Struthio camelus: one gene and its partner. The protein of the gene in region 1 purifies or fractionates together with the protein of each later gene. This does not show direct contact. Links are inferred from orthologs where the notes say so. Each region holds a gene or a part of one and is shown on either strand. Other genes may lie near its edges. The genes, in order: MCM7 and CDC6.

The links.
Region 2: the proteins of MCM7 (region 1) and CDC6 purify together in Homo sapiens (affinity purification with western blotting; 3 studies listed by BioGRID). This does not show direct contact. The link is inferred for Struthio camelus from reciprocal best matches to the Homo sapiens genes MCM7 and CDC6.

The regions. Positions count from the first base shown.
Region 1 is NC_090978.1:591,631-606,053, reverse strand, and holds MCM7 (DNA replication licensing factor MCM7), read right to left. Parts: upstream 8,620-14,423; 5' UTR 8,280-8,619; coding exon 8,249-8,279; intron 8,095-8,248; coding exon 8,018-8,094; intron 5,803-8,017; coding exon 5,638-5,802; intron 5,555-5,637; coding exon 5,430-5,554; intron 5,111-5,429; coding exon 4,930-5,110; intron 4,845-4,929; coding exon 4,707-4,844; intron 4,020-4,706; coding exon 3,870-4,019; intron 3,790-3,869; coding exon 3,675-3,789; intron 3,545-3,674; coding exon 3,413-3,544; intron 3,171-3,412; coding exon 3,087-3,170; intron 2,970-3,086; coding exon 2,576-2,969; intron 2,378-2,575; coding exon 2,294-2,377; intron 2,212-2,293; coding exon 2,043-2,211; intron 1,325-2,042; coding exon 1,215-1,324; intron 693-1,214; coding exon 488-692; 3' UTR 165-487; downstream 1-164. Other genes in the region: AP4M1 (AP-4 complex subunit mu-1), read left to right, coding at 9,727-9,784, 9,901-9,995, 10,104-10,210, 10,312-10,408, 11,324-11,434, 11,530-11,610, 11,717-11,779, 12,288-12,354 and 6 more. UniProt on the Homo sapiens protein: Acts as a component of the MCM2-7 complex (MCM complex) which is the replicative helicase essential for 'once per cell cycle' DNA replication initiation and elongation in eukaryotic cells.
Region 2 is NC_090966.1:6,882,894-6,896,972, reverse strand, and holds the start of CDC6 (cell division control protein 6 homolog), read right to left. Parts: upstream 5,339-14,079; 5' UTR 5,258-5,338; intron 4,324-5,257; 5' UTR 4,316-4,323; coding exon 4,042-4,315; intron 3,326-4,041; coding exon 3,098-3,325; intron 3,017-3,097; coding exon 2,817-3,016; intron 2,110-2,816; coding exon 1,937-2,109; intron 1,629-1,936; coding exon 1,522-1,628; intron 1,281-1,521; coding exon 1,141-1,280; intron 730-1,140; coding exon 629-729; intron 1-628. Other genes in the region: WIPF2 (WAS/WASL-interacting protein family member 2), read right to left, coding at 7,612-7,652, 8,657-8,758, 9,356-9,565, 11,570-12,229, 12,715-12,834, 13,009-13,141, 13,723-13,785. UniProt on the Homo sapiens protein: Involved in the initiation of DNA replication. Also participates in checkpoint controls that ensure DNA replication is completed before mitosis is initiated.

The DNA of each region.
Region 1 (14,423 bases):
AATAAAACGCGGTTCCGGGGCAGGAATTAAGGGCTCCGGTGGTGTCACTTTGTCCATCCCGTGACCCTCCCTGCGGTGGCAGGGCTGTCCCCAAGGGAACGGGTCCCCGAAAGCGGTGACAGGCAGATGGTGGCAGCAAGGGAGCCACGACCCTGGCTCCAAAATCAGTAAGAAGCAGGTTTTTATTAATAAGAAACAGGAGAGAAATTGTAACAGTACCAGAAGATGACAGGGCAAAGGTGACGGAAGTGCCACAAAGCCAGAGCCTGTCCCATCCCCCCCAAGGGGACATCGCCGCATGACCCTGCGTCACCCAAAGGTGACGGAGAACACGTTCTTGTGTCAGACGAGGGTGATGGTGGGGGGGGGGAATGTCCCCATGTCAGGTAACGCCAGGACGCGTCCCGGTGGCAAACGAAGGTGCCGCAGGGGGCTGCTGTCGGGTGGCAGGAGGACTTGGAGGGGAGGGCATTAGGTTGTCCCCGCGTCACACGAAGGTGATGCGAGTGCGGGCCGGGTTCACCTGCAGCACGTTGAGCTCCTCGTACTCGTCGAGCGCCGCCTGCACCTGCGCCGGCGTGAAGCCCTTGGCCAGGCAACGCTGCAGGGCCTCGGCGTAGCGCACCGCCCGGCCCTGGCCCCCCGCCAGCTCCCGCACCGCCGCAAAGATGGCGTCAGCTGGCCGCTGCATCCTGGGGACAGGTGACAAGGGTCAGGGTAGCTGCTGTCACCCCGGCCGCCCCAGGGATGCGGTCAGGGTTGTCCCGGCTTCCCTCCAGCCACCCTGGGGAGAGGGTCTGGGCTGCCGCCCTCCTCTTAGCCGTCCTACAGCCACCCAGGGGTCAAGGGGACAGGCATAGGGCTGCCCCGGGACAGCCACCACCTCCCTGGCCACTTAGGGGACGTGGGGATGGGGTCAGGGCTGCCCTAGCGCTGCCACTACCTCCTTGGCCATCCTACAGCCGCCCAGGGGTCAAGGGGACAGGTATAGGGCTGCCCCAGGACAGCCACCACCTCCCTGGCCACTTAGGGGACGGGGTCAGGGCTGTCCCAGGATGGCCACCACCTCCCTGATCACCCCATGGCCACCCAGAGGACGGGGTTACGGTTGTCCCAGTGCTGCCACCGCCTCCCTGGCCACCCCACGGCCTCCTGGGGGACATGGGGCCAGGGTCACGCCACCTCCCCCTCCCCGTGGCCCCCCTCCTGCTCACCGGCTGTGCTGTCCCTTGTCCCCCAGCAGCGAGTCCTTGGACATCTCCATGAGCCGTATGGCCTCGTTCACGTCCTCCTTCTCCACCGTGTCCACCAACCGCAGCCGGGCCTGCAATAAACAGGGTGAAGAGGGGCGGGTAGGGGGTCAGCAGCCACCAGGGTCCCCAAAGCAGCCCCCCCACAGCCCTGGGGCACCCCAAAAATCACCCAGCACAGCCACAGAGCCTGCCAGGGCTCCCCATCGCAGCCCCGAGGTGCTCCCCAAACCACTTCAGTCCCCAAACCGGCGCCACGTTCCAGGATGGCGCAGGGGACGCTGAGGGACGGCAGGAGCCGGCCCTGGTGCTGGCCACATCCCCGGAAGGGACGCTGGGAGCCGTGCCGGTGCTGGCCGTGCCCCGGGGGCTCTGGAGTGCTGCCTCGGCAGTAGATGCCGCACACACACTACCTGCACAAACAGCACTTTGGGGCCCCCGGGACTCGTCGGGGACAGGGACACGGACGCGGCACGGTGACCCGACGGCCGCTGCAGCTCCGTGGGACCACGAGGGCTGGCCCGGCTCGGTCTCCCCACCTTGCCTGGGCTCATCCTGCCTGTTTTTGCCTCGTTTTACCCTGGCCGGTCGGACTTTGCTGGTCTGGTATCACCTCACCTTGTCCCATCGCGCTCCGTCTCACCTCGCCGAGCCTCGTCCTGCCTTGCCCGGCCCTGTCTCACCTCGCCTGGTCCCCTCTTGCCTCGCTTAGGCCACGCAGGTCCTTCTAGGTCCTTGTTTTAACCCCATCTCGCCCGGCCCTGCCTTCCCGCACCCGCCACGGGGGCTCACCAGGGCCGTGGCCAGGCGGAGGATGCCCAGCAAGGTGCGGGCGGACGTGTAGGTGGTGTCCTTGTTGGCCCAGGCCTCCTTGCGCATCTCCACGTAGGCGGCCGTGATGTAGTCAGCCAAAGCTTCGGGCACGGCGGGCTGCTTCCGCTTGCACATGGCGATGTAGCGCCTGAGGGGTGAGAGGGGCAGGGTCAGGCCCGCGGAGGGGACCTCACATCGCCTCCCAGCGTCCGTGGGTGGGCAGCTCTCACCTCATGAGCTTCATGTCAAGCTGCTGGAAGGAGCAAGGCGGCTGGCGGCTGTGCTGGTGCACGTAGGTGATGTGTTGGGCCAGGCTGCGGGGCGGAAAAAAGTTGGGGGCAGGTGCCGGAGTCGCCCCACGGCTCCCGCACGCACCCTACAGCCCCCAACCCAGCCCCATGGCTCCCACGCAAGCTTCACCGTTCCCCCAAACGCATTCTCCCACGGCCTTGCGTCCGGTCCCACAGCTCCCACGGTCCCCTATCCAACCCCAGTTCCCCGTCCCGACTCACCGCAGGTCGTTATCGCGGTCGGGGCGGTCCTGGATGAGCCAGAGCAGATCGAAGCGGGACAGGAGGGCAGCGGGTAGCTGGATGTTGTGCTCCAGGCTGCGCTTGGGGTTGTAGCGACCGTAGGCCGGGTTGGCGGCAGCCAGGATGGCGCAGCGGGCGTTGAGGGTGGCCAGCACGCCCGCTTTGGCGATGGAGATGCTCTGCTGCTCCATCACCTCGTGGATGGCCGTGCGATCGGCTTCGAGCATCTTGTCGAACTCGTCGATGCAGCAGACGCCCTGGTCGGCCAACACCAGCGCGCCGCCCTCCAGCGCCAGCTCGCCCGTCAGCGGGTCGCGCAGCACCGCCGCCGTCAGCCCCACGCCCGACGAACCCCGGCCCGTCGTGTACTGGCCTGGAGGAGCACAGAGGGGACCAGAGCTGGGTCCTCGCATGGGGGACAGCGGCGAGAGGCCCCGGGGAGGCTCGGTAAGGGGGGGGTCCCAGCCCTTCCTAGCCCTCCCGTACTCACTGCGGGGTGCCAGGCGGTCGATGTAGGACAGGAGCTGCGATTTGGCCACGCCGGGATCCCCCATGAGGCAAATGTTGATGTTTCCTGGGTGGGGGGGGAAGGGAAACGGTGAGTCCTCAGGGCAGACACTGTCCCTCTCTGCCATCAGGGACGGAGCCGTTTCATCCCTCCACCCCGAATCCTTCGGTCGCAGCTAGCGAGTCCCTTTCTCATCCCCTCAGGCTCATCCCGGACCCCGAAACCTTCCCGCGCCAGAGGGAAGAGGCCCTCGGAGCCGCGTCTTCCCCACCCAAACGCCCTGCCGGCGCGCAGCAGCACGGCTTCACCTCGGATCTTCATCCCGTGGGGGCTGCGGTCCACGCCGCCCACCAGCAGCAGCAGCAGCGCCTTCTTCACATCCTCGTGGCCGTAGATCTCGGGGGCGATGGAGGAGGCCAGCTTGTCGTAGAAGTCTTCTTCTGCAAAAGGAGCGAGGGAGGGCATTGAGGGCGGCCGGCTGCCCTGTTGCAGGACAGCTCTGGGCGTTTTTTAAACCTAGTTCGCGTGCATCTCGGGGTGCCAACGGCTCAGCAGCGCCCAAAATCTCACCTGTGATTTGTCGGAGCTCCTCCTCGGTCAGCTCCCCAGCCCCTGACTCGTCCTCCTCGCTCTTGTTCATCTTCACGATGCGGTGGGCCTCCAGGTAGGTCTCTGAGAGCAGCCCCTGGGGGACAGGAGGGTGACGGCGGGCTCGGGGCAGGGCCACCGCAGCCCCCCACCCCAGCCCGTCGCGGCAGCGCTTACCTGGGTGACCTGGCGGAAGCCGGTCTTCAGCAGGGGCAGGAAAACGCCGGTGACGCTGACGTGGTCACCGGGCTGGGCCAAGCGGGTGTTCTCGCCGTGCACAGCCACGCTGATGGAGCGGGGTAGGTGCCCCACCGGCACCTGGTCGGTCTGCGGAGGGCGGTGGGTGAGCGCGGTGGGTGAGCGCGGTGGGTGAGCGCGGTGGGTCCCCAGCTCCGCCGTCGTGTCCCCTCCCCACGGCCCGGGAACCGGCCGTTCCGCAGATGCGGGTGCCGGGAGCCGCAGCTGGAGCTTGCTGCCGTCACCCCCGAACCAAAAATCACCCCCTGCACCAGTACGAACTGAGGGGAAAAAATATGACCCAGGTGTCCTGGCGCCTTGAAGCCTGCAGGGGCCACTCGCGATGCCACCAGCTCTGCGCTGAGTGACAGCGCCAGGGGAAGGGTTATCCCCCTCTATCCTGCGCTGGGGGAAAGCTCAGCTGGAGACTGGGACCAGTTTGGGGCTCCCCAGTGCAGGAGCAACCAGCTGCGGGGCTGGAACACTGGGTAGGAAAAGAAATGCCAAGAGGCGGCAGGGAAAGGGGGTTGCGTTGATGCCATCGCCTCCTCGACGAGGCTCGGGTCGTCCTCAAAGAGGAACGGGGACGAGGCCCAGACAAGAAGGGACCTTCTGTCCTCAGCTGGATACCAAAGCCCAAACCGCGGTCATTGAGGAAAACCCCAAAATTCCCTCCCAGCTCTGCGATCCTGGTTGAAGGGATCTCTTCCCCACCCACCACCACCCGAAAGCCCCGGAGCCACGCGCCGTGGCGTCCCGTCGCTTCGTGTTCCTCACGTGTTCCTGCATCTTCAGCTCCTGGAACTTGATGAATTTGGAGCCGCGACTCTGGAGGTAGAGGCGGCCGCCGGAGCGGTTCGTCTGGCACTCCCGGCTCGGACACATGATGAGAGGCATGAAAGTAGGCGACTGGATCTACGGAGAGCGGCAGAGCTCAGCTGATGCCCCTTCCCGCTTCCCCCTGGGGCTGGCGGGAGCCACCCGTCCCTGCCGAGCTTACGGGCTGGTAGGTCTCGGCTCCGCACTGGTCGCAGCTGTAAGTGGCCACGATCATCATGGGTTTGACCTCAGTGACGCGGGTGACGATGCCGCGGACGGTCACCAGCTTGCCGATGCAGTCGGCTTTGACGTCGCGGACCACGCGGGCTTTGGCTGTCGACGGGGCTTTGAAGTAGAGCTCGCTGGGGCGGGAGGGACGGGGGTCAGGAGGGGGGACACCAAGAAGACAGGGATGGGGACATGGGTTAGGGGGGAACGTAGGTGACAGGATGGGGGTTTAAGGTGGAGGAATCAGAGGAGATAGGAATCGGGAATTAGAAGCGATGGAGAAGAAAGAAAAGTGGAGATGGAATTAAAAAGGAAACAGGTATAAGAATTAGAGAAAAAAGCAAGACAAAAACAAGGCAAAGAAGGGATGGGGCTTCGCGAGGACGCTCGGGGACAGGGATGGGGTTGGCGGGGACACCGGGGTGGCAGCCTGGTCCCCCTCTCAGCACTCACAAGCGTCGCAGCAGCTCCGGGGGATACTGGTTCTGGGGGCTGCGGGTCTCACCGGTGTCGCGGCCTCGCTGCTCCAGCAGCAGCCGGTGCTCGATGTAGACGTCCAGCACGTCCTTGCGGGACACCTAGGGGTAGAACGGGGACAGGGAAGGTGTCAGGAGGGGACAGCGGGGTGTCCCCACACCTCCCCGCCTCGGCTCTCGGGCACCTCGCGCTCCTTGTACTGGGGCAGCAGCTCGTGCACGGCGTCGGCGAAGAGGCGGCTGTAGCGCTTGGCGTTCTCGCACACGGCGTCCGCCAGCTCGGGGTCGTCCTCGGCCACGTCGTCCAGGGCCACGTAGAGGGCCACCTGGTCCCGGTGCGCCAGCGCGGCCTGCGGGGGACAGGGTGGGAGGGGTTGGGGGAGCGAGGAAGGACCCCCGGCTGGCACGGGGGCATCACCCGCAGCTCCAGCGGGTGACAGGAGAGAGCCTGATTCAGCCTGGGAGGGGGACAAGGACCCCCCATCCAGCCCAGAGGTGGCACCCGTGGCTCTTCTAGGGGGACGAGGGACCCCCGATCTCACACGTGGGTCCTCCCAGTGACACTACCAGCGCAATGGGGACAAGGACAGACCCCCATCCAGCCCAGAGGTGGCACCCGTGGCTCTTCTAGGGGGACGAGGGACCCCCAATCTCACACGTGGGTCTCCCAGTGACACTACCAGCGCAATGGGGACAAGGACAGACCCCCATCCAGCCCAGAGGTGGCACCCGTGGCTCTTCTAGGGGGACGAGGGACCCCCGATCTCACACATGGGTCCCCCCAGTGACACTACCAGTGCAATGGGGACAAGGACAGACCCCCATCCAGCCCAGAGGTGGCACCCGTGGCTCTTCTAGGGGGATGAGGGACCCCCAATCTCACACGTGGGTCTCCCAGTGACACTACCAGCGCAATGGGGACAAGGACGGACCCCCATCCAGCCCAGAGGTGGCACCCATGGCTCTTCTAGGGGGACAAGGGACCCCCAATCTCACACGTGGGTCTCCCAGTGACGCTACCAGCGCAATGGGGACAAGGACGGACCCCCATCCAGCCCAGAGGTGGCACCCGTGGCTCTTCTAGGGGGACAAGGGACCCCCGATCTCACACGTTGGTCCCCCCAGTGACACTACCAGCACAATGGGGACAAGGACAGACCCCCATCCAGCCCAGTGGTGGCACCCGTGGCTCTTCTAGGGGGACGAGGGACCCCCGATCTCACACATGGGTCCTCCCAGTGACACTACCAGCGCAATGGGGACAAGGACAGACCCCCATCCAGCCCAGAGGTGGCACCCATGGCTCTTCTAGGGGGACAAGGGACCCCGATCTCACACGTGGGTCTCCCAGTGACACTACCAGCGCAATGGGGACAAGGACGGACCCCCATCCAGCCCAGAGGTGGCACCCGTGGCTCTTCTAGGGGGACAAGGGACCCCCGATCTCACACGTTGGTCCCCCCAGTGACACTACCAGCACAATGGGGACAAGGACAGACCCCCATCCAGCCCAGAGGTGGCACCCATGGCTCTTCTAGGGGGACAAGGGACCCCGATCTCACACGTGGGTCTCCCAGTGACACTACCAGCGCAATGGGGACAAGGACAGACCCCCATCCAGCCCAGAGGTGGCACCCATGGCTCTTCTAGGGGGACGAGGGACCCCGATCTCACACGTGGGTCTCCCAGTGACACTACCAGCGCAATGGGGACAAGGACGGACCCCCATCCAGCCCAGAGGTGGCACCCGTGGCTCTTCTAGGGGGACAAGGGACCCCCAATCTCACACATGGGTCCCCCCAGTGACACTACCAGCGCAATGGGGACAAGGACAGACCCCCATCCAGCCCAGAGGTGGCACCCATGGCTCTTCTAGGGGGACAAGGGACCCCCAATCTCACACGTGGGTCTCCCAGTGACACTACCAGCGCAATGGGGACAAGGACGGACCCCCATCCAGCCCAGAGGTGGCACCCATGGCTCTTCTAGGGGGACGAGGGACCCCCGATCTCACACGTGGGTCCCCCCAGTGACACTACCAGCACAATGGGGACAAGGACAGACCCCCATCCAGCCCAGTGGTGGCACCCGTGGCTCTTCTAGGGGGACAAGGGACCCCCGATCTCACACGTGGGTCTCCCAGTGACACTACCAGCACAATGGGGACAAGGACAGACCCCCATGCAGCCCAGAGGTGGCACCCGTGGCTCTTCTAGGGGGACGAGGGACCCCCAATCTCACACATGGGTCTCCCAGTGACGCTACCAGTGCAATGGGGACAAGGACAGACCCCCATCCAGCCCAGTGGTGGCACCCGTGGCTCTTCTAGGGGGACGAGGGACCCCCGATCTCACACATGGGTCCCCCCAGTGACGCTACCAGCGCAATGGGGACAAGGACAGACCCCCATCCAGCCCAATGGTGGCACCCATGGCTCTTCTAAGGGGACAAGGGACCCCAATCTGGCACGGCGCTGTCACCGGTGGCTCCGTGGGGGGACAGGGGCGGGAATAGCCCCCCCCCGAGGGTCCCCCCACCCCGGCCCGGTGCTGCCCCATCTCTCACCAGCTGGTCCCGGTACGGGAACTCCTTGCCCAAGTCGCCATCGCGGTAAAACTCCTGCAGGAAGCGCTTCACCTTATCTGCGGGAGGGAGGGGACATGTCAGGCCCGGTGTCCCGGTGTCCCCACGCCCCCCCTCCCCCGGGCCCGGTAAACAAAGCCACAGGTGGTCGCCCGACCCCGGAAGTGCCCCGCGCTGCCGGTCCCGGCTTCCGGGGGGGGGGGGTCTTCGTACCCTTCTCGGCGGTGTAATCGCGCGGTGCCATGGCGGGGAGGTCTACGGGGACCGGTGGGGGTCAGTGTGGTTCCGGTTCGGCGTCTCCGGTACGGGTGCCCGTAGGGGTGAGGCCCAATCAGTGAGGCTCCGGTTCTGTGCGTCGGTACGGGTCGCGGCAAGGGTCAGTGACGGGTGGCCGTAAGGGTCAAGCCCGGTCAGTCGCGTTCACGGTTCGGCGGCCCGGTACGGGACCTTGCAGGGGTCAACGCCGCTGAGCGCCGCCACTCCGGCTCCGGCCGCCGCAACCAAAAGTGGCGCGAAAAGGCGCCTCACGTGGCGCCCGCGGGCCAATCCGGGGCCGGCCTCGCCCCCTTCGCCCCGCCCCGCGCGGCCCCGCCCAATCGCGGGGCGAGGCGGCCCGGCGCGGGCTCCGCCTCCTTTGGGCCGCGTCACGTGACTCCCGCTTTCCCCCGCGCGGCCGGACGGGACCGAGGTTCGGGGAGACCCGCGGGGGGCCCTGGCCCCGCCCCCTCTTAAAGGGGCCGCGGTTGCGGGGGGGCGGGGCCGGGGGGTGCTGGGTGCTGGGGAGGGTGGATGGGGGGGTCTGGGGGTGCTGGGGCCTTGGAGGGGTGCTGGGGGGGTGGATGGGGGGCACTTGGGGGGTGCTGGGGCCTTGGGGGGGTGCTGGGGGCTGGATGGGGGGTCTGGGGGTGCTAGGGCCTTGGGGTGCTGGGTGCTGAGGGGGGATGGGGGGCTCTGGGGGTGCTGGAGCCTTGGAGGGGTGCTGGGTGCTGAGGGGGGATGGGGGGATCTGGGGGTGCTGAGGCCTTGGGGGGGTGCTGGGGGCTGAGGGGGGATGGGGGGCTCTGGGGGTGCTGGAGCCTTGGGGGGGTGCTGGGTGCTGAGGGGGGATGGGGGGATCTGGGGGTGCTGAGGCCTTGGGGGGGTGCTGGGGGCTGGGGGGGTGGATGGGGGCTCTGGGGGTGCTAGGGCCTTGGGGTGCTGGGTGCTGGGGGGGTGGATGGGGGGCACTTGGGGGGTGCTGGGGCCTTGGAGGGGATGGATGGGTGGTCTGGGGGTGCTGGGTCCTGATGGGGGAGCACTTGGGGGGTGCTGGGGCCTTGGGGGGGATGCTGGAGGATGGGGGGGGATGGGGGGGGTCAGAGGGTGCTGGGTCCTGATGGGGGAGCACTTGGGGGGTGCTGGGGGGGTGGATGGGGGGCTCTGGGGGTGCTGGAGCCTTGGGGGGGTGCTGGGTGTGGGGGGGGTGGATGGGGGTGTCTGGGGGTACTGGGTCTTGATGAAGGGGCACTTGATGGGTGCTGGGTCCTGGTGGGGTGGGGAGCAGGACCTGGAGGGCGCAGAGCTCTTTCGAAGGTGCAGAGCCCTGGTAGCACCCAAAGGTGGCCAGAGGGTGAGTGGGGGGGGTCTCGGGGTGAAGGAAGGGGGGGAGGGTCCCACTCGAGCCACCCCCTCCGCCTCCCGCCAGGCCAGCGATGCTCTCCCAGCTCTTCATCCTCTCCTCCAAGGGCGACCGCCTCATCCATAAGGACTGTATCCTGCTCCAGCGTGGGTGCTGGGTGGGTGGGATGGGGTGAGAGGTTGGGGAGGGGTCCCCCTTGCCCCCCCTGCTCCCCACCTTCTTCTGCTTCTCCTTAACCGCAGACCGGTCCGTGGCGAGGCCGGTGCCACCAGCCAGGACCTCGCCGACACCTTCTACAAGAAGATCACGGCTTTGCCGGGCGACCAAGCTCCCGTCTTCATGGTGAGGGTGGTGGTAGGGTGCTGAAACGGGGTGGTGGTGGGGGAGGGGTCCCAGCACCCTTCCCAGCTCCGTTTCGCCCCCCCCACCACCCACCCGCCACCTCCGCAGGTGCACGAGGGCCGGCACTTTGTCCACGTGCGGCACGCGGGGCTCTACGTGGTGGCCACCGCCGCGCCAGATGCGTCGCCCTTCACCTTGGTGGAGTTCCTCAATAGGTATGGGGAGGGGGGGTTTTCGGGGGGTGGGGGGGACACACCGGGGGACAGGAGGGGACGCGGCAGAGTGGGGGGAACCCGTTGACGGCCCGCCGGCGCAGGTTGGTGACGTTGCTGCGGGACTGCTGCGGGACCCTCAGCGAGAAGAACGTCGCCCTCAACTTCGCCCTCGTCTACGAGCTCCTGGACGAGATGCTGGTGGGTGGGCGCCTTGGGACACCCTACGGGGTGACGGGGACACCCCTAGGGCGTGGGGTTGTCCCTGGGGATGCCTTGGGAGGGACACAGGGGCCACCCCGGGGGGAGCTGGGGACATCTTGGGGTGGTGGTGACCCTGCTGGGGGCACTATGGGGACAGTTTGGGGACAGTTTGGGGGACTGGAGCCACCTCAGAGGGAGGTGGTGACACCCTGGGGTGGTGGTGACCCTGCTGGGGGGGCTATGGGGACAGTTTGGGGGACTGGGGCCACCTCAGAGGGAGGTGGGGACCCCCTGGGGTGGTGGTGGACCCCCTGAGGGGGCTATGGGGACAGTTTGGGGACAGTTTGGGAGACTGGGGCCACCTCAGAGGGAGATGGGGACACCCTGGGGTGGTGGTGACCCTGCTGGGGGTGCTATGAGGACACTATGGGGACAGTTTGGGGACAGTTTGGGAGACTGGGGCCACCTCAGAGGGAGGTGAGGACACCCTGGGGTGGTGGTGGTGGCCCTGCTGGGGACAGTTTGGGGGACTGAAGCCACCACAGAGGGAGGTGGGAACACCCTGGGGTAGTGGTGGCCCTGCTGAGGACAGCTTGGGGGGGGGGACCAGGGCCACCCTAGAGGGAGCTGGGGACATGATGGGGGAGGCCAAGCGACACTCTCCTGGGGCTGGGGACAGCTCTGGGGGTGATGGGGACACCTGAGTGTGGTGGGGACACCCCCATGGGGTGACGGGGACATTAGAGGGGGGTAGTGGGAACACCCTAGAGAGAGAGCTGGGGGGCCACCTTTGTGGGGGGGGCCACTCAGGAGCATCTTTAGGGTGCTGGGGACAACCCAAAGGGGCTGAGGACACCCCTGGGGGAGGGGGGGACACGGGGACATCCCTGTGTGTCCCCCCCCCCCCGCCAGGACTACGGTTACATCCAGACCACGGCGCCCGAGGTGCTGCGCAACTTCATGCACACGGAGCCCGTGGCCACCAAACCCTTCAGCCTCCTGGACCTGGGCTCCATCGGGCTGGTGAGCACCCAACCCCCCCCCCCAACCCCACCCATGGGTGCCCTCGCACCCACGTCCGGCGAACGCCCCCTTCCTCTTCCTCCTCCTCGTTGCAGTTCGGCGCCGAGACGCAGCAGAGCAAGGTGGCCCCCAGCTCGGCCGCCAGCCGCCCCGTGCTGCCACCTCGGGGGGAGCAGGTAGGACCCCCCCCCTGCCGCCCCACCCGATGGGTGTCCCCGTGTCCCCCCTCCCCCCGCCCCACGGGTGTCCCCGTGTCACCGCCGACTGTCTCTGCGGCCACAGGGCGCCAAGAACGAGGTTTTCGTGGACGTGGTGGAGAGGCTGACGGTGGTCATCGCGGCCAACGTGAGTGGGGACGGGGCCACCGCTCGGTCGTCCCCCCCCAGTGTCCCCTCCCTCCCACTCGTCCCCCCACCTCCGGGCACCTCGACCTGGGGGTGTCCCCTGTCTCCGAAGCACTTCGCGTCCCCCCTCATGTCTCCCCCCAGGCAGCTTGGCTTGGGGGTGTCCCCTGTCCCCAAAGTGCCCCGCGTCCCCCTCGTGTCCCCCCCCAGGCAGCTTGGCTTGGGGGTGTCCCCTGTCCCCAAAGCGCCCCGTGTCCCCCCTGTGTCCCCCCTCGAGGCACCTCAGCTCAGCCTGGGGGTGTCCCCTGTCCCCAAAGTGCCCCACGTACCCCGTGTCTCCCCCCGAGGCACCTTTGCTCGGCCTGGGGGTGTTCCCTGTCCCCAAAGCACCCCGTGTCCCCCCATGTCCCCCCTCCCAACACCTCAGCCTGGGGGGGGGGAATCCCATGTCCCCAAAACGCCCCGCGTCCCCCCCAACCCCGGCTCACCCCTCGTCCCCGCGTCCCCAGGGGACACCCACGAAGGTGGACGTCCAGGGGGAAATTCGCCTCAAGTGCTACGTGCCCAGCTGCTGCGGTGAGCGGGGGGGGGGGGGGGGGTCCCCAGCGGCATTGGGTGTACGGGGCTGGGTGTCCCCCCCCACCCCAAAACCCGCCACCACCGTGTCCGTCCCCCCGCCACCCCGGTGGGTGACACCGCCGCGTCCCCGCAGAGATGCGCATCGGGCTGACGGAGGAGTTCTGCGTGGGCAAGTCGGAGGTGCGAGGTGCGTCCCACCCCCCCCAACTCCCCCCCAAGGGGGAAAAAAAAACCCTAAACGTCCTTTTTTGCCCCCAAAATCGCCTCCCCCCCCCACCAAGGCTACGGCACGGCCGTCCGCGTGGATGAATGCGCCTTCCACGGCGCCGTCAAGCTGGACGAGTTCGAGAGCGGCCGGGTGCTCAAGGTGACCCCGAGCCAGGGTGAGGTGAGGATTCGGATGGGTGGGGGGCACCCTAGGGTGATGGGGGGGCACCCATCCTGACCCCCTTTCCCCCTCCCCACCCGGGGCAGCTCACGCTCATGCAGTACCAGCTGGCGGATGACATCCCGGCGCCTTTGCCCTTCCGCCTCTTCCCAACCGTGGACCGGGACGCTGCGGGCAGGTGAGGGTGGGGGGGGGGTTTGGGTGGGGGGGGGTTTGGGTGACCCCGGTGCTGACGTGGCCCCGCGTCCCCCGCAGGTTGCGGCTGTACCTGAAGCTCCGCTGCGACCTGCCACCCAAAAGGTTTGGGGGGAGGGGGGGCTTGGGGGGTGGCTGGTGGGTGTCCATGGGTGAGAGGGGGGAGTGTGGTGGGTGTCCATGGGTGTCTGTAGGGGTGGAGGTGTCCAAGGGGTGTCCATGGGTGGTGGTGGGGGGTCTAGTGGGTGTCCATGGGTGCCTGTAGGGGTGGGGGGTGTCCAGTGGGCATCCATGGGGCTGGGGGTGCCTGGTGGGTATCCGTGGGTGAGAGGGGGGTCTGGTGGGTGTCCATGGGAGTCTGTAGGGGTGGGGGTGTCCGGTGGGTGTCCATGGGTGGGGGGGGTCTAGTGGGTGTCCATGGGTGCCTGTAGGGGTGGGGGTGTCCAGTGGGCTTCCATGGGGTTGGGGGTGCCTGGTGGGTGTCCGTGGGTGAGATGGGGGTCTGGTGGGTATCCATGGGTGTCTGTAGGGGTGGGGGTGTCCATGGGTGGTGGGGAGGGGGTGTCTGATGGGTGTCCATGGGGGTAGGGGTGTCCCATGGGTGTCCATGGTGTCCATAGGGGTGGGGGAGTCCGGTGGGTGTCCATGGGTGGGTGGGGGGTGTGTGGTGGGTGTCCATGGGTGTCTGTAGGGGCGGGGGTGTCCAGTGGGTGTCCATGGGTGGGGGTGGGGGGGTGTCTGGTGGGTGTCCATGGGTGGGGGTGGGGGGGTGTCTGGTGGGTGTCCATGGATGTCTGTAGGGTTGGGGGTGTCTGGTGGGTGTCCAAGGGTGGTGGTAGCTGTGGGGTGTCCATGCGGTGGACAGGGTGTCTGGTAGGTGTCCATGGGGGGGGGGTGGGAGTGTCCGTGGGGCAGACGGGGTGTCCAGTGGGTGTCCACGGGGAGGGTGGGGATGTCCATGGGGTGGACGGGGTGTCCGGTGGATGTCCACCCCCCACCGCTCTCCCCTTCCAGCCAAGCCCTCAACGTCCGCGTCCAGCTGCCCGTGCCCAAGGGTGTGAGCAGGTGGGTGACGCTGCTGGGCCGGCGGGGTTGGGTGCAGGATTTTGGGGGGGTGGGGGGGGCCTCTCTGCTCCCCCCAAACCTCTCACCTTCCCCCCCATCTCCATCCCTCCCCGCCTTTAAGCCTGGCCCAGGAGCTGAGCAGCCCCGAGCAGACGGCCGAGCTGCAACCCAGCACCAAGTCCATCCGCTGGGACATCCCCCGGTGCCAGGGGGGGTCCCAGCTCTCCGCCCTCTTCAAGGTAGGGGGGGACACACAGGAGGGTCCCAGTCCCCCTTGGAAACCCTCCCCCCGGCCTTGGGGACAAGCAGGGACCTGTCCCCGCCTTGGGGAACCTTAAGGGACCTGTCCTGTTTGCAGGGTGGCTGTAGGGCTTTGGGGACAGGCAGGGACCTGTCCCAATCTGGGGTGGCCGTGGGG
Region 2 (14,079 bases), on another chromosome or scaffold:
CGTAAGAGGAGACGGGCTCAGGGTCTGGACCGCTTCCTCGGCCGGCGGCCTCCAGACATCTCTGTTCGCCTCCCGGCTCCTCCCAGCCCGAAGCCCGGGCCAAACCCCGTGGTCAAAGCCCGGCGCTCGCTGCGCCCAGCTGGCCCGCGGCCCACGCCGGCGCGGCCTGGCAGCGCTCCCGCGGCAGCGGGAAGCTCCGACCTGGCCGCTCCAGCGCGGCTGCCCTCGGCACGGCATCCCCGGCAGCGAGCAGCGCCGGGCTGGCGGCAGAGGGGCCGGGGAACCCCTGCTGCCCGCGAACCGACGGACCGGGGAGGGGAAGAGCTAATTCTGAAGGCAAAAAACTGGTTCAGCTTCATCAAGAAACCGGCTTGGGAGCTGCTAATGGGGCTTTCTGCAATACAGATGTAATTAACCAATCTATAGTCACAGCGGGGAGGGCCGGCAGCGCCTTCGCCTCGCCCTCCATAGGTAATGGACTGCAAAGAGCTCTCCCATTAGCGGGGCCAGGCGGCAGCGCTCCCGCTGCTCGGGCGCCGAGCGGCAACGGAGCCTGCAGTCACGTTCGCCGGCGCCGCTGGGAAGCGGCCTGGTTTTGGAGGAGGCAGGGCCGCGCGGTGGCGTTTACCTGCAGACATCCAGGGCCTTGCGGGCGTCTCCAGAGACCGCGGAGACTTTGCGGGCACAGAACTGGACGGCAGAGCTGTCCAGGACCGGGTCACCAGCCACCTGCGGAGGAAACGCAGCGCGATTACGCGAGAGGCCTCCCACGACCCAGCGCTGCCGGGACGGCAAATAACCCCTGCGGCCGGCCCAGGGCAGCCGGCAAGTCCTCCTGCCACGTGGGCTGGGGCATCAGAGCGCCGCTCGCGGCATCGCAGCCGGGACCTCGCCGCTTCCTCGCCCCGTCTCCCCGAGGTGCCGGCAGAGCGACCGGCAGGACTGGGAAGGGCGCAGGCCCCCTTCCGCCCGAGGCGCCGGCTCAACGGGCCGCCCAGCCCGTGGCGGGAGTAACCCGGCAGCGGAAGCCCGTTTCGCGCGGTTAATGGCAGCGTCAGCGCCACGCGCGCGGCTCGGCCGGATCGCCGCAGCCCCTGCCAGCTTTGCCCGGAGAAGCGGCCCCGTTGCCTCGGTTTTCACCTGCTTCAGGCGCTCGTGCAGGATGGAGGCGAGCTGGTCCCTGGTGTAAGGCGGGAAGGTGAGCAGCTGGGGGCGGCAGGTCGGCCGGGCCTGGAGCCGGGCCAGGCTGCGGTCCGTGAGGTCCAGGGCATTGGCCATCCCTGCGAAGCACAGCGAGCTCGCTGAGAGCGGCGGCGAGGGAGGCCGGCACCTGCCCGGGCTGGAGCTACGCGGGCTCTTCCCAAGGAGGGGAGCGTGCGGCCGGGGACGACAGAGCTGCGCAAAGGCTGCGTCTAAAGCACCGAGCGCTGCTCCGCCGCCGAGTTGTGCCACCCTCGCGGACGCGTGCAGGGAGCTCCGGGCGTCGGATGGGGCAAACGTCGCCACGCGGCTGACACTCACCGATGAGGACGAGCCTGGAGCCGGCCAGCCAGGGCCACTCGAACACGGTGTACAGCACGTCCTGCCCTTTGCTGTCCAGCTGGTCCATCTCATCCAGCACCAGCAAGCTGCGCAGCGGAGAGGAAAGCTCAGGTCAGCCCCGGAGGGGTGCGCGAGGCAGCCCGAGCATCGGCGGGTGGCAAATCCGCCACGGCGCAGCCGGGACCGCAGGAGCAGGATAAGGGCCGGCTTTTCCCACTACCTCTGCGACCTGCTTCGCACGTTCAGAGAAATCAAAGCTCTCAGGAGAAACCCCGCACAGGGGACATGTGTCCCAGCAGGCCAAGGCGAGGGCCACCCCGAGCTCCCAGATGCGAGAGGCAGCTCCAGCGCAGCAAGAGCAGCCCACAAGCGGCGCCCAGCGCGGGCAACTCACACCATGGGCCCCTTTGCTGTCAGCTGCTTCTCCAGCTTCCTCACGATCTCCCGCCCGGCCACCCTGGCCGTTGCCTGCAGGCCCAGCTGCTCCGCGATGGCTGGGAAGACGGCCTGCGAGCTGCTGAGGGACATGCAGTTCAGGATGACGGTTTTGCTCCTCGTGAGTTCGCCCTGCCAGACAGAGACATGGGAGAGTTGCAGCACTGGCGGCTCCGCTGGGCACGGCAGAGCTCTGGCGGCAGAGCCAGACAGCGGAGCAGAGCCGTGGCCAGGACACGCGGCTCCGCAAGCCTGCTTCACGTGGGGACGTCTGCGTCCAGCCGCCCCCCTTCCCCAGGGAGACGCTGCAGCGAGTCCGAGCTCTCCCCCGCTCGGCTCTTGCTCCTCGCGCAGCTCCCTCCCGGCTCTCCCCTGCTCTGCCAGCCCCCCTAGGCTGCACCCGTCTCGCCCCGCCATGCACACGGCCGGGCAGCCTGCTCCGGACCCGACACTGAAACAGGCTCTGCAGCAGGAACCCAGCAATTGCTGCGCGTGCAGGGATAACGCTGTGTACAGAAATGGCTGTTAACTGACCCAAGGCGCTCTGCTTCCAAACCAAAGCAGCTGAGCTACAGTGAGTGGAAAAAGCTATTGCAAATGCGCAGAAAAGCAAGATCTCCTCCTGCTTGTTCCAAACCACTTGTACAAGCTACTCCAAACCTACCAGAAACTTTCCACCCTAGCACCAGACTGCCCTGAAATACTCCCCAGGCAGCAAGACCATGACCGCTAAACGCAGGGAAAAACACCAGCCTCATAAAAGGTGAGCTTGTTCCAGCTTCAGCTGTAGCAAAGACCTCGGCCCCTGGAGGAAAGAGCCCCCCAAAACCGTGACAAACCTTGTAGTCTTGCAGGACCCTGCTCAGACAGGCCGTTTTCCCCGTTCCAGGGGCTCCCGAGATGTAAAGGCTGCCGGGTCTCCCCCCGCAGACATGCTCTTTCAGAAATCGCTTGATGACGCTCATCTCCTTCTCCCTGGCGTGGAGGCACTCCGGGACGGCGGTGTGCAGCACGCGCTTCGCCTGCTGGTAGCAAGAGCCTGCGCCGGGGAAAGGGAGGTATGGGAGATGGCTCCCGCGCTCCGGGGGGATCCCGTCCCCCTCGGCGCGCCAGCACTCACCTTCCTGCCTGAAGAGCCGGGTGCAGACGGGCTCCCGGCCGAGCTCCGAGCTCCGGGGGGTCTCCTGGCCCTGGCGCCGCGGGGAGAGGCCCGGGTCGCTCCCCTTCTCCGGGGAGCCGGGGGCCGACGGCTCCCCGAAAAGCAAGCGGCGCCCCTTGTTCTCCTTCCTGCTCTGCTTGGTGGGCGAGCAGGGCAGCGTGTGCGGGATGTTGCACAAGTTGTCGTCGCCTGCGGGGAGACGCGCCGCGGTCAGCGGGGACGACGGCGCGGCAGGGAAAGCACCGACGTCCTCGGAGAAGGGCCAGCTACAGCGGGGGCCGCGGGCCTGCTTTGGGGGCCACCGGGGAGGGGGCACCCCGGAGGAATTCAGAAACAAACGGGAAACGGCAACATGAAGGGGTTCAAGCTAAATATCTGCATATGTTTCGTGAAATCCGCCTGCCGTGGAGAAGAGCCCTGCGGGGACGCGGGCTCAGCCCCGGCCTGCGCAATCCCCCACGCCCGGAAAAGCCTGCGCTGGGGGAACGGGGCTTTGCGGAAGGGAGCGAGGACGCGGCCCCCCGGGATGGTCCGGCACCGCATCCTGCTCCGCAGGGCGAAGCTCGGAGCCGCTCTGTCCGCCCACGCCAGCAGCTGCCACCATTAGACGGCCCCAAACTCCCTTGCGGCGGGGTCGCACCAGAGCCAAGGGCGTTGTGCAGCGGGGCAACGCAGGGAGGCTTCGCTCCTCGCGACTCCCGAGCGGGCTGCACGCGGCGGAGCAGCCCGGGGTCCTGCCGCAGAGCTTCCTCCCCGGAGACGGGGAGAAAAGAAAAACAAGAAATCACAAATTTCACCGACACTCCAGCTGCGCGAGGGCAACGGGAGGGGTAAAGAGGCCCGGCGTAGGGCCGGGACCCCCAGCCCCGAAGCTCCCCCCGGGGAAGGAGGCGCTGGCAGCTCACCCAGGCGTTTCCGGGGGCTCAGGGGCGAAGCCTTGGTCCGCGGCGAGAGCGCGCCGAGAGCAGCCCGGCCGGGCTCGGCCGCGCCGGGGGCCGGGTCCTTCGGCCAGGGCGCCAGGCGCAGGGCGCAGGGGTCGGCGGCGCTGCCGGGGCCGGAGCCGGGGCCGGGGCTGGCCGGGGCGTCGCGGTTCTTGGCCGGGAGCCGGGCCGGGGTCCGGGCGCTCTTCCGGCGGGGGAAGTCGATGGCGGCCTGGCTCCGCGACCTGGTGCTGGGCATGGCTGCGGCTGCGGGGCAACGGCGTGGGTCAGGCGGGGGAGTGCCCCACGGCTCTGCCCTGCTGACCCCCACCCGAACCCCCACCTCTCTGCCCCAGCCCCCACCTCCTCCCACCCCACATCCCCACCTCTCCGCCCCCCATGGTGGCACACGTCTGCTCCTCACCCCCCCCAGCTCTGTCCTGCCCCACAGCCCCACATCTCTGCTCCCATCCCTCTGCTCCCCCAGCCTTGCCCCACCTGTTCCAGCTCCTGCCCCATAGCCCCACGTCCCTGCCCCCATTCCCCCCAGCTCCTGCCCCACAGCCCCACGTCCCTACACCCCTTCTCTCCAGCTCCTGCCCCATAGCCCCACGTCTCTGCTCCCAACACCACCCAGCTCCTGCCCCACAGCCCCACGTCCCTGCCCCCCTTCTCTCCAGCTCCTGCCCCATAGCCCCACATCTCTGCTCCCAACACCACCCAGCTCCTGCCCCACAGCCCCACGTCCCTGCCCCCCTTCTCTCCAGCTCCTGCCCCATAGCCCCACGTCTCTGCTCCCAATACCACCCAGCTCCTGCCCCACAGCCCCACGTCCCTGCCCCCCTTCTCTCCAGCTCCTGCCCCACAGCCCCACGTCCCTACACCCATTCCCCCCAGCCTGCTCCACAGCCCCACGTCCCTGCCCCCATTCCCCCCCATCCCTGCCCCACAGCCCCACGTCCCTGCCCCCATTCCCCCCATCCCTGCCCCACAGCCCCACGTCCCTGCCCCCATTCCCCCCCATCCCTGCCCCACAGCCCCACGTCCCTGCCCCCATTCCCCCCAGCTCTGCCCCACTGCCCCACGTCCCTGCCCCCATTCCCCCCAGCTCCTGCCCCACAGCCCCACGTCCCTGCCCCCATTCCCCCCACCCTGCCCCACGTCCCTGCCCCCCGGCCCCCCAGGCCCCACCGCCACCCACCTTCTCGCGCCAACTCCGCCGCAGCTCCGCACTTCCCGCCACCAAGCCGGCCCGGCCCCGCCCCCGCTTCCCTATTGGCTCCGCCGCCCGCCGCCGCCGCCAATCGCGGAGCTCCGCGCCAAGCGCCGCGAGGAGGGGGAGGGGGGGTCGCCGCGAGGAGCCAATCGGAGGCCACGCGCGCGGGGTGTGCCGGGAGTGGTAGTCCGAGGCGCGCGAGGCACGCTGGGAGGTGTAGTGCAGCCAAGTGGAGGCGGGAAACCATGGCCACGCCCCCCCCACTGCCCCCCCCCGGCCTGCCTCTTCCCCAGAGCCCCCCAGTACCCCCCCGTCCCGCTCCCAGTGCCCCCCAGTACCCCCCGTCCCGCTCCCAGGGCCCCCAGCCCTGCCTCTCACTGGGGCTCACCCAGGGGAAACTGAGGCACAGCCCCGGGCTGCAGCACCTGGCCAGCACCCCCCCCACCCTAACGACCCCCCCAAGCCAAGCAGAGGGCCAGACCTCACCCTTGAGCAGATGGGCCGCTTTACCACTTTTATTTGAATGCAATTTCAAGCTTATTGTGTTTTTTATTCCGTTCCCTCTTAAAAGAGCCCCCTTTGCCGCCACACAGGGGGTAGGAGCCAACGGTACAGAGAGAACCTTTTTTTTTTTTTTTTTCCTCCTTTATTTAAACAAAACAGCACAGTGCATGAACTCCTGCCCCAGCTGCAGTGCTGGGCTGGCCCGTCCTCCGGGGGAAAACGAACCAAACCGAACCCCAAGGTTTCCCTGGGCCAGGCAACGTCCCTCAACGTGAGTGCTGCCTAGGGCCCCCGTGAAAAGGGTAAGTTTCCATCGTCATAGAAAAAAAAAAAATAGCAGTTAAAGGTGAGGGGTTTAGTACACCTGCCACGAGCCCACCTTCCTCCTATATTACAAGCTTTTTACAACGTACAAAATAGATCAGTAACTATGATTAATGTAAAGCCCACCCCGGTACTGCGAGTAAATACACAGAGAAACCAGCCTGGTACCAACAGTCTGACAGAAGTAGTGTAAATAAGGCAAAACGTCAGCTAGAGACGAGGGTCCCCGGCGCTGCCGCCAGGAGCACGAACCCGGCGCTGGAGCGGCTGGGCCAGGCCACCTGGCGCAGGCCCCTTCCCACTCCCCCAATGCTCTCCACTCTCACATTAAAGAGAAAACCAACAAAAAACAGCAACAAAAAACCCCGCATCTCTCTGCTTCTTCCACGGACGACGAGTAGCATCTTCCTGTTAAAATTCTCTGTTTGGTAATTCAGCGTTAAAAGCAGGGCTCTCCCGGCGGTCAGCGGTGCCCAGCCAAGCGCGGGATGCGCGCGGGGCTCCCGGCAGGGACGGCTCCCTCCTCCACCGCTGCCACTGGGTTAAAACACGCCGGCAGGGGTTGGCATCCCGCCGGTTGGCTGCGTCACGCGAGGGGGTGAAACACCGCTGGACTGCTCCCGTGCGAGGACAGGGCACGGCGAAGGGAGTCGCGCAGCCGCGGGGAAACGTCCCCTGCGCGGGAGCGCAGAGGCAGAGCAGCAGGGAAGGCTGCGGGTTCCCCGCCGAGCTGCCTCACGGCCCCCTGCTCCCAGTCCCTGCTTACGGCTGCGGATCAGTCCCTGCCCAGAGCAGCCTCTGGCCTCCCTGCGGCTCAGGCTGCGCAGCCCAGCACCATCAGGCTCTGACTGGATGGTCCTGATCGTCACGTGCTCCTTCACTGGCTCCTGTGCAAAAAAGCAATTTGCTGTGTTTGGGTAACAAAACATTCTGCTTGCTCCTCCTCGTTTCGCTGTTAGCTTAATGGATTAATACGCAGCATTTCTGCCCATGAGTGTCCCAGATGGAGCGCCCTCAGAGACGCCCCTTTTCCTGTACCCCTCTGCAAATGTGACCTACCCCAGCTCCTTTCCAAGCCCACACAACACCCTCAGCCTGCCTTAGCCCAGAGGAAAAAGGGGCACTGAGCCGGTTCTGGTCCCAACACCATCAACTGGTCTCGGCGCGGTTCGGCGTCTGCCCCAAGTTCTCATGCCTGGATGCCCAGACCACAGCTGGAAGCGCCGTCCCGACACAATCCAGGATCTGCGACGAGAGCGCGGAGGAAAGGGCCCATCCGGGCTTGCCAGCAAGGTCACCAAGTCCAGGGTGAGATGCATAGATGAAGGTGGGCTGGCAGAGACAGCTGAGCTGGAGTTATCTGCTCTTCCTTGCACAGCTGGGAAAACCAAAGACGCTGGGAGTTTCTCATGCAGGTTCCTAGAGGGCAGGGAGGTGGGGAGGATCCATCTGAGGAAGGGGAAGTAGGTCCGTATCTTTGCTCAGGAACAACCTCCCTGCACAGCTCACTTTCACCTGGGGATGGGAGGCAGAGGGGGGGCCCCACGGGTAGCTGCAAGACAAGAAGGCCCACTGAAATCAGAACCCGCGCGGAGACTGCCCGCACAGCTGCTGGGGCAGCAAGCCTGGCACTGCTAACACGTGTCGGCTTCTCCCCAGCCTCCTCGCTGGCTGCCAGGGCCAGTTCGGAGGATCGCTGCCTCGGGGGTTAACAGAGCGGCACCTGGCACGTTTGCTTACCCTCCTCCACACCCTCGCGTCAGCCCACGCTGCTGCCCCCCCTGCTCGTATTCCCCGCCGAGGCCCGAAGCCTGGGATTTGCGACTCGAGAACCAGCCGTTGCAGCATGCATGGAAAGCTCAGGGCTTTTCAAATCCACATTAAACATTTATCATTCTAAAAATAAACGAGCATCCCGTTCTCCCTTGAGTCTCTCCTCCTGGATCTGCAGGGCTGACTCGCAGCAGCAGAACAGCAAGGGCACTTTGTGCTGCGCTGGGAGAGGAACCGGCTCCCAGAAGTGTCAGATCCAAGCACTTCTGCCCAGGGCCTCTCGGTTTGACCTGTTCCAATGCTTGCACAGCAGCTCTTTACCCTTCCACTGCCTGCCTAATACCAGCATTTCAGCTGCAGGGCCAGCTTCTGGAGTCCTTTTATAACTGCTCCAGCACCAAAGGCCAGGAAAAAGCCCTAAAGCATTTCTGCACACAGGCTCAGCAGAGTGCAGGTAGGACAGGACATTCTCCCAGCCCAAATCCCTGGGGCCGCCCAGGGTGAAGCATGCTGCCTCGAGGGCTCAGTGCCCTGAGAAGCACGTGCAGGCCCCAGGGCCGCGCTGTTGCGCGGAGAAAGCCAAGGATCAGGAGAGCCCCTGAAGCCACGACCCAGGGCGGCTCAGCAGCAGCACCAGCACAGCCTCCCTGCACGCTCTACCCTGGCTGGCTTGACAGAGGGGATGGTGGGTGGCCACGGCTCCATCGCTGTCAGCTCCTGTCACCAGCAGCACCCTCGAGGGGAGTCAGGCCACGCAGGACAGCAGACTAGCTCTTCCCTTACCTCTGTTTGTTTTGCTGGGGTAGATCCTCTGGAAGTATTTATACTCTTCTGGGGCTGGAAAGTCTTCGACAGGGTGAAAGGAATATTTGGATTCAAAGTCATCTGCAGAGAAGGAGGAAAAGTGGGTCAGGGAGGGTGGCTCTGAACGAGCACAACTGAAGTCGACCTTGCCAGAAGGGCTCAGCCATGCACGCCAGCGCCTGGCCCCCAGGAGCTCCTGCGGTTCCTCCTGTTTCCAATTTTCTGCCCCGGGTGAGAACAGCAGTCACCGATGAGCATGTAGCGCCTGGACCTTTGTGCCTCTGGATCCAAGCCTAGCACCAAGCCAGGATAAAGCAGCCCAAGGAGCATCCTGTCCTGTCCCTCCCCTCTCAGCTCTACAACCCCCAGCTTCCTCTGCTGGACAAGAGGTCTCTGCCTCTCTCACGTTAGCAGCTGAGGAGGCAACAAGGGGCGGCATGTCCACACAAAGGATTTCTTCTCTCCCCTCACGTATGGCCTGAGGATAAACATGGGCACTCCCAGCTCAGTCCCTTCCCCCAGGGCTGGCACAGACCCCTGGGGAGCTGGTTCTGCTGCCAGGCGCAGGCTCACCCGAGGTTTGCCGACTGCCAGGGAGCAGCACTCTGCTTGCGTTTGTGCGGGGCCTACAACAACACTATCCACAGCCCAACAGCAGCGCAGCGGGGCCTCACTCACCCAGGAAAGCTCTGACGGTGGCGATGGAGTCCCGGTGGCCATTCCTTACTGGCGGGGGTGGCGGGGGCGGCCCCGCCGGCGTCCTCGTGGGCGGCGGCGGCGGCTTCCCTCGGCTCGGGGGCTCGGCGGACCCGTGCAGTCTGTAAGGGGGCGGGGGCGGTGGGGCGTCTCGCCCACCGTTACGCAGCATCGGCGGTGGGGGCGGCGGGGCTGCAAGGAAACCCGTGTCAGCACCGACGCAGCCCGCAGAGGGCAAGGGTGAGGACAGCGGCGGCCTGCCAAGACGAGGCATCCCTAGGGCAAACCCTCCCCTCGGCAGCGGGGCCAAGGACACCCTCCAAGGTAGCTTTCCAGGCCAGCTGCTGAGCTGGAGAGCGCCAGCAGCCAGCACTGCGGCCCAGGGATGTTTCTAGCTCACGTCCAGCAGAGATTTCCTGCGCGTTCCCGACATCTGCATTCCTCCCTCCCCATCAGCTCCGGCGGGGACCTGCCAGGCGCCTGCCCAGAGCGCGGCCAGCCCCGGAGGCCAGCTGGCCCCGCAGCCACCTCCCGGCTCACTGCAAACGGGGACCAGGTGAAGTGCTGCGAGGGCACAAGGCCGTGCGGGCCAGCCCACCCTGAGCGGGCTGCCCCGGCCCTCGTGCACCCCCAGCCCGCGGCCTCACCTCCCGGGGGAGGGGACCACGTCTGCCAGCACCCCCTCGGCCAGCCACGCGCTGTCTCGGAGGACAGGCACGAGCCCTGTGCCCTGCTGCCGGGCAGCCTGTGTCTAAACCCGCGTTGTTACCAGAAAGCATCCCCACTGCGCAGGGCGCCTAGGCAATCCCGCAGCGGAGCCCCACCGCGTGCCGCTGCCCTGTGCCCGGAGCAGGCCAGCTGGCGAGCCGCGGCACGGGCACACGCTGCGGCTCTGCTGTCAGCCCATCGCAGCCGCGCACAGCTCCATCCCCTGGCAAGGCAGGGCAGACTCGCGGCTTCAGACCCAGGTCACTCTCTGCACCGCAGAGGAGCCAAGCGCTGTTATAAGCACGCACACACGAGGGTTTGAGAGCGGGCGGCCCTGCATGGAGGCAAGACATCATCTGCCGCGGCAGGGAGGCAACACTGCGAACAAGGTGTAGGCTCCCAAAGCACTAACAGGACCCACAGCCCCTCTGACCCACCTTTCACTCCTGCCCAGCCTCCCACCAATGCACAGGGGCAGTTCATGCTCCTAATTAGGCTAATTACACAGACTAACACAGCAGATCCCCAGCTGTAACTCAATGGAGGGATTCCGGCAGGGCCGGAAGGACAGAGCAGCTTGGCAGGGGACCAGGCAGGAGCTGCGGTCTGGACGCAGAGCCCAGGAGCGCGCAGGAGACCGGGGGCACTGGGGCAAAGCCATCACCATGCCCAGCAGCGCGACACACTCCCACCCAGCTCCGTGCACGGGGAGAACAGCAAGTGGTCTCCACTGAGTCACCCAGGTAGCAACGGGACAGGGAGACAGCCAGCCTCTGGGAGCTCAGACATTTTCCCAAGCAGCATCGGCCACGGGAACGTGCCGCCTTCCTTTAGAGGGGGCCTGATGCAATGGCCTGGCTCCGTCAGGGTGCCTGACACCAAAATCCCAGCACCTGCATCAGAGGTGACAGAGCCTTTATCGCCAGCTGTCCTTCAAACCACCTAGCGCTGAAACCAGCCGTGATGCCCACAAAGAGGGCAGAACACTTTCTGGGTTCTGCAGGACGCTCTCCCTGCTGCGTAGCCAGGTGAAACGTTTCTCCCTGCTCTGCCGCAGCTTTCTGTCACTGCCTCGGTGACATAGGAAGAGAAACCGCAGCACAGGCCCGGCTCCGTTGTACTCTCTCCTCCCACCTCAGGGGGAGGCTCCAGCCCCCAGGAGGACACACCAACCTCAAGTGCAAGAACTGCCAAGCTACAACCCGTCGCCAACAACAGGCACAAAAGGAACTGGATAAATAGAGGACATGACCAGGGACATCTATTGAACATGACAGTCCAAGACACTGCCTCTGGCTCAGGCAACCACTGCACTGACTGCCGTGTGCAGGAGAAACCTCGCTGTGTCCCGGCTTTGACTCTTCCCCAGGCATCTCCTGCCAGCCATCAGACCACCCCCACGGGCAGGCGACCCCAGTCTGACCCACAACGGCTGCTCTCAGTCTCAGGCGCAAAGGAGTTGGGACTAAAAGAGCAAAAGGTTCTTACCTGCTCCTCTGCTGGGGGGGTCTCTGGCCGGCGGAGGGGGGCGACTACTCTGGAGAGATGGGGAGGCTGAAGCAGGCGGTGGCGGCGCGAGACCTCGCAACGGGCCCGGCGTCTTCCTATGCAACGAGTTGTGTCTCTGCGGCAGCTCTGGGGCAGACTCATTGATGGGGCTAGAAGGGCCGTTGGGGACACCCGGGGGCTGCCGATAGGGAGGCGGCGGCGGCGCGAGAGACTGGCTCTGAGCCCCCGATCCCGTTCGGATGCTGACGGGGGAAGGAGGGGGCTTGATGGGTGGCGGGGCGGGGGGTCCATCCCTGCTCACAGGCAGTCGCTGTCCCGGGGTTGGTGGCAGGGGCTTCTCCCGGTTGTAGGAAGACACCTTGGTGCCATGCGCAGGAGGGGGGGCGGGAGGTGCGGCGGCGCGGCGGCCCGGCGGGGGAGGCGGCGGGGCGGATGAGCTGTGTTTCATGCCGGTGCTGCCGGCGCTGTTGGGCCGGGAGAGGTCCGGCAGGGAGGGCCTCTGCATGCGCGGCAGCTCTGGGGGAGAGGCCCGACTGTTGTCAGAATCATCTTGAGGTCGGCTGTTGCTGGTGGGCACCGGGGGCCTGGGGGCAGCTGCTCTGGAGCCGGGGACTTGCAGGGTTTGCTTACTGGAGCTGTCTGCGGTGGAAGGAAAGCAGAGTGACTCGCCAGACCCAGCACAGGCTGAGAATCAGCGAGAGCAACAGACAATGCTTCATCCCAGAGCCTGCGCGCAGCACGTGGCAACCTGCCCACTCTACCGACAAGGGCCAGACCTCGGGGAACACTGTCTGGCACAGGCAGGGAGCTGGCACCGCTCTCAACCACACACAGCTCCTCTCTCACCACTGCTATTCGCTCTCTGGCTTGCTGGAAGGCAGGTTGCCACAAAAAATAGACAGAAGTGTTCAACAACACATATGACTCCCAGGCCCTCCAAAGAGATTATTCCTATGGGGACAGTACAGCACAGAGAACACAGCTTGCCCGTGGCAACATGTGGGAGGTTGATTTGGGGTCCCTCTCTTTAGCTAGCTGAAACCTCCAGGCAAACCCAGCAAGATCCTCGACCCTTCTCTGCTCAGGGATCTTCCCAGGGCAAAGCACGGTCACGTGGCCATTACCTGAGCTGTCCTTTGCTCCTACAGGTCTGAGCTTGGGGACACCACCTTGGAAGAGGCCTCCTTTTGGCTGGATCACAGCTGAGCCAGAACCATAGCTGCTGCCTCCACTACTCTTGGGCTCTGGAAAGAGAGAAGCAGAGAGGTTAGGTCCAGTGTTATCAGCCTCCTCCAAGTAGGAGGCGCTGGAAATGACATGAGTGAAGCCAGGAAGTCATCCTGAAGGCCACGGCAGCACCCAGCACAGGGCTCAGAGAAGCTGAGAGCATCCCAGGGACGTGCCAGGCAGGTACTCACTCTCCAGGATTGGTGCACTCCGGTCATTGATTTGTGTGACTTTCTTTAGCTTGGTCCCTTTACAAATGTCCTGCAGCAGGGCCCCACGCCCCCGCTGCTCCTCTCGGCTCAATTTTGGCGGCTCTGTGTTTGCCTGGAGACAAGAAACAGCTCAGCAGCAGCTTGCATATAAGCATGGATACCTCAATGCACAGAGCACAGCCCGACTCCATCTTCCCAGTCCCACACCCTGCTCCTCTGCTGAGCCAACAGGCAGCCCAACCGTCTGCCAGGAAACAGCATTCTCCAAGATGCCTCTACAAGATGGAGCAACCTGGCTGCCCCAGCCATCAAGTCCTACACTACCCTCCTGGAGGATGGGGCAGAAACCCTGTCCTATCTACAGCCAAGGCGCAGCTCAGAGCTACACGTCAAATCCCCTGCTCTCCCTCCAGAGCAGCCATGGAGCCAGAGGTACTAATGCAAAAGGAAAGCCTGGAGGCAACGTGGGGTCTGCGTGCTGCCCTGCCCCTTCCCTTGCACCAACCCTGCTGTAAGGGAAACTGAGGCACAGCTCATGAGCTGCCAGAGGCTCTCAGCAGGCTGACTCCAGGAGGTCCAGCCACACAGCACAGGGGACCCAAGCAAGAAGCACCGCGTGAACACAAGCCGCCCTACCACCAGCCCGGCCATGCGAAGGGGCCGGGAGCCGTGAGGCTGCGAGAAGGCTCTTACCTGACTCAGGGTGGGAGGCGGCGGGGGGCCAGGCGGGGGTGGAGGGGGCGGAGGGATCGGCATCCTGGCCTGGCTCCCAGCGGCTCCAGCTGCTCAGTGCTCGGGGTGAGCCTCGTCACTCATACCTGCAGAAAGGGAGGAAGGAAACGGTCAGGGACCGGAGGGGAAAGCCAGTGAGCCCAGCAACGGAGAAGAGCAGTCCCAGGACAGCGCACAAGGGCCCTTTAGCTCGAGCAGCGCTTCAGGGCAGCCGCGGTCCCTGCAGGACCGATGCGCGTCGGCCTGGGCTGCCCCCTCCAGGCTGGCTCAAAAGGGCAGCCAGGTCCTCTCAGCGCCCCGCGACGGGAGCCGCGACTC